2 linked regions of the Anolis sagrei genome follow. The protein of the gene in region 2 purifies or fractionates together with the protein of the main gene of each other region. This does not show direct contact. Links are inferred from orthologs where the notes say so. Each region holds a gene or a part of one and is shown on either strand. Other genes may lie near its edges.

Region 1 (7,964 bases), on a different chromosome or scaffold from region 2:
TCCTGTGAGAGACCTCTCTCATGTCCCCACATGAGAAGATGGAGTTGACAGACAGGAGCTCATCCTGCTCCCCAGATTCGAACCGCTGACCTTTTGGTCAGTAGTCCGGACGGCACAAGAGTTTGACCCATTGCACCACTGGGGGCACCATTAAGAATTCATAGCCAATGAGGAAGGTTTTGCAACACTGCAGATGTTCTGTGTCTACCGTTACAGAAGAAAATGGATTTATTCAGTGGTTCTCCCTCCCTGCTTTCAAAAAACAGCTTTTTTTTGTCGTGTCAGGAGCGACTTGAGAAATTGCAAGTCGCTTCTGGTGTGAGAGAATTGGCCGTCTGCAAGGACGTTACCCAGGGGACGCCCGGATGATTTGATGTTTTTATCATCCTTGTGGGAGGCTTTTCTCATGTCCCCGCATGAGGAGCTGGAGTTGATAGAGGGAGCTCATCCGCCTCTCCCCAGATTCGAACCTGCGACCTGTCGGTCTTCAGTCCTGCCGACACAGGGGTTTAACCGACTGCACCACAAGGGGCTCCAAAAAAACAGCCGAAGACATACCTTTGCTCACTGGCTTACAAGGAGGAGGAATAGTAGTTGGTAATACTACCATTATACCTCTGATAAATAGTTGCCATCCATATCTGTGCCCTGCTCACCCCACTAGCTCAATAAATATCTTGAGCAATGAATAATCGATTTGTCCCAAAGAAATGGGAAATTATTGTTTCCATTTGATGTTTTGTCCTATGTCTGCTGTAACAGGCTGTGCATTTTATTTAATTTTAGTTTGTTAAGTTATAATTTGTATTTATATGTTGGGTTGTATAAATTTTGTTAATATGGATGTATTGTCGTATTCAGGTATTGAAGGTTTGACTTTTATGTTTGGAATCCACCCTGAGTCCCTTTGGGGATGTAGAACGGAATATAAATAAAGTTTTTTTATTATTATTATTCTGAACCTGTAGGTCCCCAGCTGTTTTGGCCTTCAACTCCCAGAATGACAAATGCAAGATACGCCACTTTGGCAGGAAAAAAGAAATGCAAAGATACAGAATGGGGGACGCCTGGCTTGAGAGCAGTACATGTGAAAAAGATCTTGGAGTCCTCGTGAACAACAAGTTAAACATGAGCCAACAATGTGATGTCGCGGCAAAAAAAAGCCAATGGGATTTTGGCCTGCATCAATAGGAGCATAGTATCTAGATCTAGGGAAGTCATGCTACCCCTCTATTCCGCTTTGGTTAGACCACACCTGGAATATATTGTCCAATTCTGGGCACCACAATTCAAGAGAGATATTGACAAGCTGGAATGTGTCCAGGGGAGGGCGACTCAAATGATCAAGGGTCTGGAGAACAAGCCCTATGAGGAGCGGCTTAAGGAGCTGGGCATGTTTAGCCTGAAGAAGAGAAGGCTGAGAGGGGATATGATAGCCATGTATAAATATGTGGGAGGAAGCCACAGGGAGGAGGGAGCAAGCTTGTTTTCTGCTTCCTTGGAGACTAGGATGCAATGGAACAATGGCTTCAAACTACAAGAGAGGAGATTCCACCTAAACATGAGGAAGAACTTCCTGACTGTGAGAGCCGTTCAGCAGTGGAACTCTCTGCCCCGGAGTGTGGTGGAGGCTCCTTCTTTGGAAGCTTTTAAACAGAGGCTGGATGGCCATCTGTCAGGGGTGATTTGAATGCAATATTCCTGCTTCTTGGCAGGGGGCTGGACTGGATGGCCCATGAGGTCTCTTCCAACTCTTTGATTGTATGATTATATGACTGTGAGAGCCGTTCAGCAGTGGAACTCTCTGCCCCGGAGTGTGGTGGAGGCTCCTTCTTTGGAGGCTTTTAAACAGAGGCTGGATGGCCATCTGTCAGGGGTGATTTGAATGCAATATTCCTGCTTCTTGGCAGGGGGTTGGACTGGATGGCCCATGAGGTCTCTTCCAACTCTTTGATTCTATGATTCTCTGAAATCCTAACAGCTGGCAAACTGGCTGAGGTTTCTGGGAGTTGTAGGCCAGAACTGGGGACTCACAGGTTGAGAACCACTGAGGTATGCGTATGTGTATGTATGTATGTGCTCATATAAACAGCTAATTTGTATCTAATGATGAGGAATACAGGAATTGTAGCCCAGCATTTGGAGGGCCACACAAAATGACATTGGTGGGCTGGATCCGGCCCACGGGCCATGAATCTGACACATGACCAGTCCAAACTCCATTATATGGCAGTGTAGACCCAGCTTTAGAAAAGTGTAACACAAAATGTCGCGTAACGGACAGGTCTTTCGCAAACTTCATGACTTAATAAGTCCCTGTATTCATGTATTGTCAAAGGCTTTCATGGCCGGAATCAGTGGGTTGTTGTAGGTTTTTTCGGGCTACATGGCCATGTTCTAGAGCAGTAGTTCTCAACCTGGGGGTCGGGATCCCTGAGGGGGTCGCCGGGGGATGTGAGAGGGGTCGTCAAAGACCATCAGAAAACACAGTATTTTATGTTTATCATGGGGGTTCTGTGTAGGAAGTTTGGCCCAATTTGATTGTTGGTGGGGTTCAGAATGCTCTTTGATTGTAGGTGAACTATAAATCCCAGCAACTACAACTCCCAAATGTCAAGTCTATTTTCTTCAAACTCCACCAGTGTTCACATTAGGGCATATTGACTTTTCACAACAAGTTTAGTCCTGATCCATTCTTGTTTGAGTCCACAGTGCTCTCTGGATATAGGTGAACTACAACTCCCAAAGTCAAGGTCAATGCCCACCAAACCCTTCCAGTGTTTTCTGTTGGCCATGGGAGTTTTGTGTTCCAGGTTTGGTTCAATTTCATCATTGGTGGAGTTCAGACTGTAGGTGAATTATAAATCCCAACAACTCGAACTCCCAAATAACAAAATCAATCAATCCCCCCTCCTCCCAATCCCACTACTATTCAAATTTGGGCATATCAGGTATTTGTGCCAAATTTGATCCAGTGAAGATACGTCCTGCTTATCAGATAATTGCAGTACCATTCATAACAGGAGCAAAATTACAGTTATGAAGTAGTAAAATAATGTTATGGTTGGGGGTCACCACAACATGAGGAACTGGATTAAGGGGTTGCGGCATTAGGAAGGTTGAGAAACACTGTTCTAGAGGCATTCTCTCCTGACATACATTGCCATAGATTCAGGCAAAACATCAGGAGAAAATGCCTCTAGAACACTGGTTCTCAACCTGGGGTCCCTAGATGTTTTTGGCCTTCAACTCCCAGAAACCCTAACAGCTGGTAAACTGTACTGTCGAAGGCTTTCATGGCTGGAATCACTAGGTTCTTGTGGGTTTTTTCGGGCTATAGAGCCATGTTCTAGAGGCATTTCTCCTGACGTTTCGCCTGCATCCTTGGCAAGCATCCTCAGAGGTAGTGAGGTCTGTTAGGGTTTCTGGGAGTTGAAGGCCAAAAACATGTGGGGAATCACTAGGTTCTTGTGGGTTTTTTCGGGGTATAGAGCCATGTTCTAGAGGCATTTCAACTGACGTTTCGCCTGCATCTATGGCAAGCACCCTCAGAGGTAGTGAGGTCTGTTAGGGTTTCTGGGAGTTGAAGGCCAAAAACATCTGGGGACCTCACTATCTCTGAGGATGCTTGCCATAGATGCAGGCGAAACGTCAGGAGAAATGCCTCTAGAACATGGCTCTATAGCCCGAAAAAACCCACAAGAACCTAGCTGGTAAACTGGCTGGGATTTCTGGGAGTTGTAGGCCAAAAACATCTGGGGACCCCAGGTTGAGAACCACTGCTCTAGAACATGGCCATATTGCCCGAAAAAACCTACAATAACCCAAGTCCCTGTATTATAGGAGAAAGATGAGAGTTTAAGTCAACAAATGAATCATTCTTTCATGAAATCATTATCTTACACATGTCAAGCCACGTTGTGATACAAAGGGTAAATTTCTATAATATATCTTTTGAGCCTGACTTTTGCAAGGCTTGTAAATTGGAGGGAAAAGGGGGCGGGAGGCAGGCCTTGAGTGATGAGAGTTCAGGGAAGAGGCTGTGATTCCAAATGAACACGGAGTCGCGTGTCAAAGAAGTCTCGTGTGAACGGAGAGGGCGGGAATGAATGATGGGGTTCCTGAGGCCCTCACAAAACGCGTGTTTCCGTGAGGTAGAGGCCGAGGCCCTGTTGCCACTTCCTGAGGTGACATCCAGGAGCGTGCGGAGCGAGGCAAGGGGAGACAAGGGGGGCCTTCCCGCCGTTACCTTCTCTTTCGGGCGACGACCCCTCGAATCCTCTCACCGGGCGGCGAAGGGGAGAGGCGGCGGCGCGGGCGGCCGCGGAGCCAACCACAGCCCCACCACGCGCATGCGTACAAGCACGCCGTCCCACCCTCCCTCACTCTCTCACTCTGTCGTCCCTACTGGGCACCCGCGCATGCTCTGGCCCTCCTCTAGGCCCGTCTCCCAAGCGCGAACGCCCAGGCTCCCTTCGTCGCTGGGATTGGTTCCCTCTTCTGCCACTCGAAACGCTGGCCAATCCGATCTCAGTGCTTAATTTCTTTCCCCCTCCCTCCCATCGTTCCGGAGGTGGGAAGCTGTTGAGCGAGCAGCAATCACAGAGCCACCGTGCGCATGCGTCTATTCACGCGCACGCCTTCCCTCACTCCCTCTTGAAGCTGCGATTGGTTCACATTGATGGCACTCGGGACGGATGGCCAATCCGAGCTCATTTTTCCTCCTATCGCAAGGAGAGGCGGGGCGTTTGGGTGGAGCGGAAGAGCGTGCGCTATCCACAGTGCCACCGTGCGCATGCGTACATACACGCGCATGCCTTCCCTCTCTCACTCCGTCGGTCTTACAGGGTCTGTCTATGGCTTCTATTGGTTCCCACTTTTATCACTCTGGTTAATTGTCCAATCCGGTCCCAATGCCTGTTCTTTTTCCTCCAATCGCATACAGGGGCGGGACATGTGGAAAGAAGGTAAGACAAGTTAACGCCACTGTGCGCATGTGTGGAAATACTCGCCCTCCCAGTCCTCCTCCTGTAAGCCTGCTTCCAAGTTGGCTTCTATCTCGGTTGCGATTGGTTCCCAGTAACAGCACTCAGGACTTACTGACCAATCCGGTCCATGCGCAAGGCGTGTGAGAAAAAGGGAAGAACCAATAAAAGTCTTAGAGAAGGAGGGAGGGACGAGAATCGCATTCTCATTGGTGGGGAGTCATATTGATCCGCCTACTTTGTTTTTTTCTCTCCTCGCGGCGCTGATTGGCTTGCAAGCGTTATTGACATCGCGGAGACAAGCAGCCCTTTTGACGCATGCGCATGAAAGAGGAGGCGGGGTAAAGCGTCCACAGGGAGAATAGTGAGGCAATACGCAGCCTCTCGCGAGCCGACGGAATGACGTCAGCAAAGGCTTTGCTCAGAGTCTTCCAAGATGGCTCCGCGCTGGCGTGGTTGAGGCTTCATTGCTCGCGCGAGTTCGGTGAGTCTCTCCAGCTTCTGAGCGAGTGGGTGACTGAACGAACACCTGTGAGGGAGAAACAATGAGGCTGTTAGGAATTGTGGGAGTTGAAGTCCAAAACACCTGGAGGGCCCAAGTTTGCCCATGCCTGGTATATACATTCATTGGATAGCATAGCTCCTACCACAGTGGTGTTTGTTTTGCTGTCTGGACCCCTGTTCAGAAGATTTAACTACCTGGAGAAACTAGGAAAGCCCCTACCTACCCTAGAAACCTTTAAAAAGAACCTTAAAACCTGATTCTTCCGCTGCGCCTTTGGTGAGTAGGTAGAACGCCTCATCCCTCTCTGAAACTTTATCCCATTTATATCTTACCTGTTTCATACCCAGCATTATTATTTTTAAATTGTAATTATTACAATTACATAGGTTTTAAACGTTCTTGTGATACTCACCGTCTGGTGGGGACGAGGGACAGGGCCTTCTCGGTGGTGGCACCTCGGCTCTGGAACTTTCTCCCATTGGTGATTAGAACTGCCCATTATTATTATTATTTATTAAATTTTATTATTACAATGATAAAAAAGACAGACAGAACAAAGCAAAACATAGCTATAGACATACATAGACACATCCAAAGACCTAACTAACTAACATCGACAAACTAACACAACATACTAACTACAAGTATATTAAAATGAGGGTGCCCGCTACGGCAGCAGACCTCCACTTCTCTCTTCTACGGTATTTCAGTGACAATATCCGTTCTTCTATATTTACATAACTTTTAATTTTCTCCTTCTTCCTATCATGCCTTATCAGTCTACTATTTCATCTTTAACAATATGTAGATATTTATTCGTATTTACAAAGACAAAAAGAGGAGAAAAAATAGATCGTTATATTCTCCATTATCTATATGTCATATGTTCTTGTTCCTCAATTCTCTTGAACGATCTATTTCTTATATTTTTACCCATTCTTCAATTTCTTCATACTATTATTATTATTATTATTATTAACTTTATTTGTACCCCTCTAGCATCTCCCGAAGGACTCGATGCGGCTCACAAAGGCCAAGGCCTCAAAACACAACATAACAATACAACACCTAAAGCAAATTAAAAACAATTAAAGCAATATTAAACAACAAGCAATAAACAATACATCGAGACACTATAAAACTGTGCCGGGCCAGAGTAATGGGTACAGGATTAAAAGTGCTGATGTGACAGGTGATATGTAAGGATTCTAGGGTAAGTGCAGTGTGAGGTGTGCAGCAATCTTAGTTCTAATAAAGTGCTTCTGGGACTTGTTATTGGAGGTTCCTATTCTGGAAAGGCACATCAGAACAGCCAGGTCTTCAAGTTCTTTCTAAAGACTGCCAATGTAGGGGCCTGTCTAAGATCTTTGGAGAGGGTGTTCCAGAGTCGGGGGCCGCCACCACCCTCCTGACCTTTAGAAAGTGGGTGAAAACCTGGCTCTGGAATTTGGCATTTGATGAGTGAGGCAATAACTCTTGACCACACGGACGGATGGGGATGAATAGTGATTTTATGTTAACGATTTGGCCTTATATAATTATATGATATGTGTTTATATTAGTGTATTATTGGATGTGATGTTTTTAAACTATTGTGTATGAATTCCTTTGTTGTAAACCGGCCTGAGTCCCTCGCTGGAGGTGAGAAGACTGGTATATAAAATTTCTAAATAAATAAATAAATGTATTACTGTTAATGTTCATTGCTTTTTTGTTTATGACATTTATTTTAACTATTTTGTATTGCTTGTTTGTTCTTGCTTTTTTATTGATGTGCTGTGGGCTCAGCCTCATGTAAGCCGCACCGAGTCCCTTGGGGTGATGGTAGCGGGGTATAAATAAAGTTTTATTATATTATTATTATAACCTCACGCTATTGCTTAGCCTCAACGTTCTGTCATTGGAGTATACGTCCGTCCGTCCCTTTATGGAAAGCTTGATTCCACAAAACCCACTCTAATGAGGCCTCCTCCACAAATAACCTGCTTCTCCTTTATCTCACCTGAGTTTTAAATTAGTTTTTCTTTTAATTATTACATTATTACATTGTCACTGTGATTGTGCTTATTGTAATTTTATATTGTTATGTATTCATATATTTTATGTAATTCTGATGTTGTTTATTGTTTTCGGTTTGCGTTTTCGGTTTTACTCTGTTGTAATTTATTGTTTTGGGCGTGGCCTCATGTAAGCCACCCCGAGTCCCCACTGGGGAGATGGTGGCAGGGTATAAATAAAGATTATTATTATTATTATTATTATTATTATTTCACCTCACTTTGTGTCCCTTTGAGAATTGGGTTTAGGAAAATGTGGCTTGTTGAGGAAACAAGGATTGGTGATAAAGCTTCAGTTGAGACACCTTTTCCCCGTGATAATACAGGGTGAGGCAGCATAACTTCCTTTTTTCAAAACTTATTAAAACCCAATTTTTATTTTTATTTTTTTATAATATAGGTGCATACCTAAGGTTT
Region 2 (7,989 bases):
CATCTCTTAGAATTGATATACCGTTTTGGCACCCTTGTATATGTAGAAAATGTATGTGCTCTCTTTAACATATTACATGTTTTACTTGATTAAAAGGCAGTATTTCGGCGTTTACAGCTTAGGTCCAGGTTATTTGAAGGATCATATCTCTCTCTATGAACATATCAGATACCTACGATCCTCTGGGGAGGGCCTTCTCTCTGTCCCACCACTTGCACAAGTACGTTTGGTGGGAACAATGGAAAGGGTCTTTTTGGTGGCTGCTCCCAGACTTTGGGACTCCCTCCCAAGAGAGACCAAGGATGGCCCCATCCCCGCTTGCAAGTTAAGCCATTACTTTGCCATCAGACTTTGGGGGGGGGGGGGTGATATGGTGAATTTTATATGTAATTTTAATTGTATTTCTTGTATTTGAACTGCATTTTTAATTTTATATCCACCCACAAATGTAGATTTGTTTTTAATTTTGGTATTTATTTTAAATATGTATTGCATGTGTTCATTTGTTAGCTGCCTTGAATCCCTTTGGGGAGAAATAATAATAATAATAATATTGTGTTGTTGAAGGCTTTCATGGCTGGAATCACTGGGTTGTTGTAGGTTTTTTGGGCTATATGGCCATGTTCTAGAAACAATATTTCTTACCCACCTCTTCCCATGGCTCGAGGCGGGTCATAGCACAGTCAAATACTATAAGAATTCTACAAACACACATTAAAATTTAGTTCCATAAAATATACAGATCAAAGTATTTCTGTAAAATACACATTAATAACATAGGACAGAGACCAAAACACACTACATGAGTTTAAAATTCATGCTTAAAGACTGGCTGGCCTGCCAGAAGAGATAGGTCTTTCCATGGTTTTTAAATTCTGACAGCTGTCAGAACTCTACTGGCAGGTTGTTCCACAGTCTTGGGGGCGGCTGATGAAAAAGTCATCTGGGTGACAGTTGCCAATCAGGTTCTGGCTGGTTGGAGCATATGCCCCTTAGAGGACTGTCAGTGTGTGGGGCGGATTGTACGGGAGAAGGTGATCTTTAGGCAACCTGGACTCAAACCATGCATGGTTTTAAAGGTCAAACCCAACATCTTGTACTTTGCCTGGAAATTAATTGGCAGTCCCCAAGTTGCAAACACAGTCTTTTGGGGCGAGTCTAACACCATCGAACTGGTTGACACATCTCCTTCCAGAGATTGGGACCTTTAATGGCAAGCACCTCTTTTTTTCTGGATTCAGTTTCAATTTGCTTTTCTTCATCCAACCCATTACCTCCTCCAGGAATTCATTCAGAGGAGACACAGTATCTTTAGCTGAGGCTGTTTTTGAAGACATGGAGAAATATATTTGGGTGTCATCATCATACTGATAACACCCTGTCCCATGCCTATGGATGATCTCTCCCAATGGGCTTCATGTAAATATTAAAGAGCAATGGGGTAGAATACCACCTTGTGGGACACCACATGACAGCTCCTTTTTTGAGAAGTTGCTATCTCCAAGCACCACCATTTGGAACCTGCCTGGCATCTGGGAGATGCCTCCAGATGTTCCAGAAGGATACTATGGTCAATGGTATCAAAGGCTGCTGAGAGGTCTAGAAGCACCAACAAGGACATAAACCCCTTGTCAGTGTTAAGACAGGTATCATCCACGAAGGTGACCATAGCAGTCTAAACTCCGTATGCTGCTCTGAAGCCAGTTTGAAATAGGTCAAGAAAGTGTGCATCGTCCAAGACTGCCTGGAATTGGAGGGCAACAGCCTTCTCAATCACCTTGCGCAAAAAAGGAAAGTTAGACACTGGTCTGTAGTTGTTAAAGTCCCTGGGATCTAGGAAGGGCTTTTTCAGCAACTGTTTAAATACCATTAATAATAATAGTAATAATAATACTACAGGAAAAACTCAGCCGTTATCAGGACCTCAAAATTGAATTGCTAAAGCTCTGGCATAAACCAGGACAGGTGGTCCCAGTAGTCATTGGCACACTGGCTGCCGTGCTAAAAATCCTCAGCCGGCATTTGGAAACAATAAACATTGACAAAATCACGACCTGTCAACTACAAAAGGCCACCTTACTTGGATCTGCGCGCATCATTCGAAAATACATCACACAGTCCTAGATGCTTGGGAAATGTTTGACTTGTGATTTTGTGATACGAAATCCAGCATATAGATCTCGTTTGCTGTGACATACTGTGCTTTTGTGTCAGTAAAATAATAATAAAAAAATGTTGATAGTCCAGCATTTGGAAGAATTATTGTTATGAAGGAACGTATAAACCTTCCCAGTGTTTTAAGTCAAGAGAGGCCTTGGTTCATTTGCCCATTAACTTTCCAGGGAAAGAGGATCCTGCAGCAGAAGAGAAAAAAGCTAAAAGTGATATGCAGCTGTTCAGAAAGTGAGAGAAGACTTCTCTGTACTGTTCCAGTATTCGGGTGGAGGCCAAAAGGGGGTACTAGACAGAGAAGAAAAATCCATTTTCAGCGGGGGCGGGGTTTGATGGAGGAAAATAATTTTCCCCGTTTTCCAGTTGTTCCTCTCACCTGTGTCACCCTCATGGAAACAACCTCGTTTATTAAATGGGAAGTGGGGAGGGGGAATAAGTAGCACAAACAGGGAAATGGTTTTCCTCCTTCAACTCCCCCCCCCCACCTTAAAATGGATGATCCTCCTCTGTCTAGCGCCTCCTTTTGGCCTCCACCAGGATAATGGCACAGTACCTATTGCCGAGGAGTGTTTAATGACGTGTTCTCAACACTGAAAGAAAAGCATGTTTTACAGAAAGGTCTTCAGAGCGAGGTGCTTTCCTTAAAATAACAAGTTAAACATGAGCCAACAATGTGATGTGGCTGCAAAAAAAGAACGAAAATGGGATTTTGGCCTGCATCAATAGAAGCATAGTGTCTAGATCTAGGGAAGTAATGCTAGCCCTCTATTCCACTTTGGTTAGACCACACCTGGAATATTGTGTCCAATTCTGGGCACCACAATTCAAGAGAGATATTGACAAGCTGGAATGTGTCCAGAGGAGGGCGACTAAAATGATCAAGGGTCTGGAGAACAAGCCCTATGAGGAGCGGCTTAAGGAGCTGGGCATGTTTAGCCTGAAGAAGACAAGGCTGAGAGGAGATATGATAGCCATGTATAAATATGTGAGAGGAAGCCACAGGGAGGAGGGAGCAAGCTTGTTTTCTGCTTCCCTAAAGACTAGGACGTGGAACAATGGCTTCAAACTACAAGAAAGGAGCTTTCATCTGAACATGAGGAAGAACTTCCTGACTGTGAGAGCTGTTCAGCAGTGGAACTCTCTGCCCCGAAGCGTGGTGGAGGCTCCTTCTGTGGAAGCTTTTAAACAGAGGCTGGATGGCCATCTGTCAGGGGTGATTTGAATGCAATATTCCTGCTTCTTGGCAGGGGGTTGGACTGGATGGCCCATGAGGTCTCTTCCAACTCTTTGATTCTATGATGGAGGAAAATAATTTCCCCGTTTTCCAGTTGTTCCTCTCACCTTGTGTCACTCTCATGGAAACAACTCTTGTTTATTAAATGGGAAGTGGGGAGGGGGAATAAGTAGCACAAACAGGGAAATGGTTTTCCTCCTTCAACTCCCCCCCCCCCACCTTAAAATGGATGATCCTCCTCTGTCTAGCGCCTCCTTTTGGCTTCCACCAGGATAATGGCACAGTACCTATGGCAGAGGAGTGTTTAATGACGTTTTTTCAACACTGAAAGAAAAGCATGTTTTACAGAAAGGTCTTCACGGCGAGGTGCTTTCCTTAAAACAACATTATGATACAGCAAACAGGCAAGCATCCTCAGAGGTTGTGAGGTCTCCTCAGAGGTTGTGAAGTGTAAGTAGACCTCACAAACTGAGGATGCTTGCCATAGATGCAGGCAAAACATCAGGAGAGAATGCTTCTAGAACAGTGGTTCTTAACCTGTGGGTCCCCAGATGTTTTGGCCTTCAACTCCCAGAAATCCTAACACAGTGTTTCTCAACCTTCCTAATGCTGCGACCCCTTAATACTGTTCCCTATGTTGTGGTGACCCCCAACCATAACATTATTCTTGTGAATTGTAATGTAAATATCTGATATGCAGGATGTATTTTCATTCACTGGACCAAATTTGGCACAAATACCCAATACACCCAAATTGGAGTACTGGTGGGGTTTGGGGGGGGGGGGGGTTGAATTTGTCATTTGGGAGTTGTAGTCGCTGGGATTTATAGTTAACATTCAATTAAAGAGCATTTGGAATTCCACCAAAGATGGAATTGAACCAAACTTGGCACACAGAACTCCCATTGCCAACAGAAAATACTGGATTGGTGGGCATTGACGTTGAGTTTTATAGTTGTAGTTTGCCTACACCCAGAGAGCACTGTGGCCTCAACCAATGGTAGATCTGGACCAAACTTGGCAGAAATGCTCAATATGCCGAAATGTGAACACTGGTGGAGTTTGGAGAAAATAGGCCTTGGCATTTGGGAGTTGTAGTTGCTGGGATTTATAGTTCACCTACAATCAAAGAGCATTCTGTACCCCACCAACGATACAATTGGGCCAGACTTCCCACACAGAACCCTCATGACCAAAAGCAAATACTGCGTTTTCAGATGGTCTTTGGCGACCCCTCTGACTCCTCCTTGCGCCCCCCCCCCCGGGTTCCCGACCCCCAGGTTGAGAAACACTGTCCTAACAGGTGATAAATTGGCTGGGATTTCTGGGAGTTGTAGGCCAAAACACCTGAAGACCCACAGGTTGAGAACATGGCCACATAGCCCGAAACACCTCCAAAACCCAGTGATTCCAGCCATGAAAGCCTTTGACAACATTCTCTGAGCCTGTGAAATGTTTTGCTGCCGCCCCGCGCGTGGAGGAACCGGAAGTCTGAGGGCGGAACCACGGCGACCTTAACTGGACGAGCTTGAGCCTTCAACGTCTCCTCGGAAGCGCCTGTTTGCGGAGCTTCCGGCAGGAGGGCGGCGCAGGCCAAGTCTCGCGAGGTTTGGTGGCCGACGCTGTGAGGAAGGCGCAATCAGAACCCTCCAGCTTCGAGAGCGGCCGGTGCCGTCTTTGCTTCCGCGCAGGCGCAGTCGCGGTTAGGTCTCGCTTTCGGGGTCTTCTGTGTGGCGAGGGAGCGACGGAGAAGGGCCTCAGGGCGGGCACTTGGCGTCTCCCGCGCGGACAGGAAGGAAGGAGAGGCGGCGAAGTGTTGTGCGCTGAGGAGAGGCGGAGAGGTTCTCTTCAGGAAGACAGGCCGCACTCGGGCCCAGCCGGGACAGGAAGCCAAGGCCGGCGGCGGAAGAGGAAGACTCGCCTGACGAGGAAGAGGAAGATGGCTGCCTCCTCCTCCTCTTCTAATTCTTCTTGGTGGGCGCCTTGACGGAGCCCCGTTCCGCCCCGATGCCGAGCACGTCGGAGTCGCCGCCGGAGGCGAAGAAGCGGGCGCACCACCGGCGGCGGAAGCGCTACCCGTCGGGCCCTCTGCGGCCTCCGTCGCCGCTGCCGCTGCCCCTGCCTCCTCCTCCGGCTCCGGCGCCTCCTTCCTCGCTGCTGTTTCCGCTGCTGCAGCCCTCCTCGCTCCTGCAGCCGCCGCTGCCGCCGCAGTCCCTGCTCTTCCTGGCGGCCACCGGCTGCGGCGCCGGGGAAGGCGGCGAGCGGAAGCGCCCGCGGGGGAAGCGGCGCTCGGGATCCCGGCACAAGCGGCGGCGGGGCAGGCTAGGCGGCACCGGGACGGGGAGCGGGCTGCGGGGCGGGGCCGGGCTGGGAACGCTGCTCGAGGCCGGGCCCAAGGAGGAGTACGACGACGTCAGCTCCCAATCCGAGGGCGGAGGGGGGACGGCAGGGACAGGGGGGGAGCGGGGCGCCCGCCGCAGGGAGACCCCCAGCAGGAGTGGGGCCAGGCGCTCTCGGGAGCGGCAGAGGGAGCACCGCCGCCGGGGGGAGGACAAGGACAGGGACAGGGGGGGAGGAGGAGGAGGAGAAGGGGCCAGCGAGCCGCCCGCGCCTTCCTCTTCCTCCTCCTCCTCCAAGCCCCGCAGCCGCCACAACCACGGAGACGCGCCCCGGAGCGGGGGCGGCGGCGGCAGCGACGGCCGCAGGAAGAGCTCGGCTGCCTCACCCAGCGGCAACAGCAGCAGCAGCAGGAAGGAGCGGGAAGGCAAGGCCCGCCGGTCCAAAGCCTACAAGGAGCCGCCCAAGGCCTACCGGGAGGACAAGGCCGAGCCCCGGGCCTACAGGCGCAGCCCCAGCCGAGAAGGCAGCCCCCACCGGGCCTCGCAGCGACAGCGCAGCCGCTGCAAGTCGCCCGCCAGCCCGCGCGCCTCCGTCAGCCCCTACCGGCGCCGCTCCCCCAGCTACAGCCGGCACAGCTCCGGAGGGGGAGGGGGAGGAGGCGGCGGCGGGGATGGCTCTCCCGGGCACTACAGCTCCTGGCGACGCTCCCGCAGCCCCTACAGCCCCGCCATCCGGTAAGCAGAGCCGCCGCGGGGCCCTTTTTGTCGCTGGGTGGGCAAACCACAGATTATTTATTGCAGTGTTTCTCAACCTGTGGCTCCCCAGATGCTTTGGCCTTCAACTCCCAGAAATCCTAACAGCTGGTAAACTGGCTGGGATTTCTGGGAGTTGTAGGCCAAAAACATCTGGGGACCCAAGGTTGAGAACCACTGCAGTTGATCAGGACATAGAAGCTGATGGTTGCTCTACACCAGTAGGTCTCAACCTGTGTGTTCCCAGGTGTTTTGACCTACAACTCCTAGAAATCCCAACCAGTTTACCATCTGTTGGGATTTCTGGGAGTTGAAGGCCAAAACATCTGAGGACTTACAGGTTGGGAACCACTGTTGTAAACCTTAATACAGTGGTTCTCAACCTGGGGTCCCCAGATGTTTTTGGCCTTCAACTCCCAGAAATCCTAACAGCTGGTAAAGTGGCTGGGATTTCTGGGAGTTGTAGGCCAAAAACATCTGGGGACCCCAGGTTGAGAACCACTGTTCTAGAGTCATTCTCTCCGGACGTTTCTCCTGCACCTATGGCAAGCATCCTTAGAGGTAGCACTACCTCTGGCGAAATGTCAGGAGAGAGTGCCTCTAGAGCAGTGGTTCTCAACTTGGGGTCCCCAGATGTTTTTGGCCTATAACTCCCAGAAATCTCAGCCAGTTTACCAGCTGTTAGGATTTCTGGGAGTTGAAGGCCAAAAACATCTGGGGACCCCAGGTTGAGAACCTCTGCTCTAGAACATGGCCATATAGTCCAAAAAACCCTACAACTACCCAGTGATTCCGGCCATGAAAGCCTTCGACAATACATTCAATTTTTTTCTGCCTTGATATTCTGGAATATAGTGCTGTGCAGAAGGGTCTTCAGATAATTCAATTCAAAGCAGATATTGTGGGATTTTCTGTATTGATATTTTGAGATATAGGGCTGTGAGGAAGGGTCCTGAGTGTGGCCTCAGACAACTCAGGGCCCTTCCAGACAGCCCTATATCCCCCAATATCAAAGCAGGAAATCCCACATTATCTTAGTATGGACTCAGATAACCCAGTTCAAAGCAGATATTGTGGGATTTTCTGCCTTGATATTCTGGGATATAGACTTGTGTGGAAGGGCCTTGGGTTCTTACCTACAAAGCTCTGAACGGTTTGGGACCTGCCTACCTGCGTGACCGCATTTCTGTGTACGAACACACATGATCTCTCCGATCATCTGGAGAGGCCCTACTCGCGCTCCACACAAGCCTATATCCACACAAGGCCCTTCCACACAAGTCTATATCCCAGAATATATCAAGGCAGAAAAACCCACAATATCTGCTTTGAACTGGGTTATCTGCATTCATACTCAGATAATGTGGGATTTCCTGCTTTGATATTGGGGGATATAGGGCTGTCTGGAAGGGCCCTGAGTTGTCTGAGGCCACACTCAGGACCCTTCCTCACAGCCCTATATCTCAAAATATCAATACAGAAAATCCCACA

Evidence for each region. The genes of interacting proteins can lie anywhere in the genome.
Region 1: the proteins of CDK13 (region 2) and CCNK purify together in Homo sapiens (affinity purification with mass spectrometry; 4 studies listed by BioGRID and IntAct, counting the BioPlex papers as one, with this or other methods). This does not show direct contact. The link is inferred for Anolis sagrei from reciprocal best matches to the Homo sapiens genes CDK13 and CCNK.

The regions. Positions count from the first base shown.
Region 1 is NC_090021.1:321,310,821-321,318,784, forward strand, and holds the start of CCNK (cyclin-K), read left to right. Parts: upstream 1-4,945; 5' UTR 4,946-4,967; intron 4,968-5,362; exon of another isoform or gene 5,363-5,494; intron 5,495-7,964. Other genes in the region: SETD3 (actin-histidine N-methyltransferase), read right to left, coding at 4,395-4,423. UniProt on the Homo sapiens protein: Regulatory subunit of cyclin-dependent kinases that mediates activation of target kinases.
Region 2 is NC_090026.1:68,619,477-68,627,465, reverse strand, and holds the start of CDK13 (cyclin-dependent kinase 13), read left to right. Parts: upstream 1-4,978; 5' UTR 4,979-5,413; coding exon 5,414-6,480; intron 6,481-7,989. UniProt on the Homo sapiens protein: Cyclin-dependent kinase which displays CTD kinase activity and is required for RNA splicing.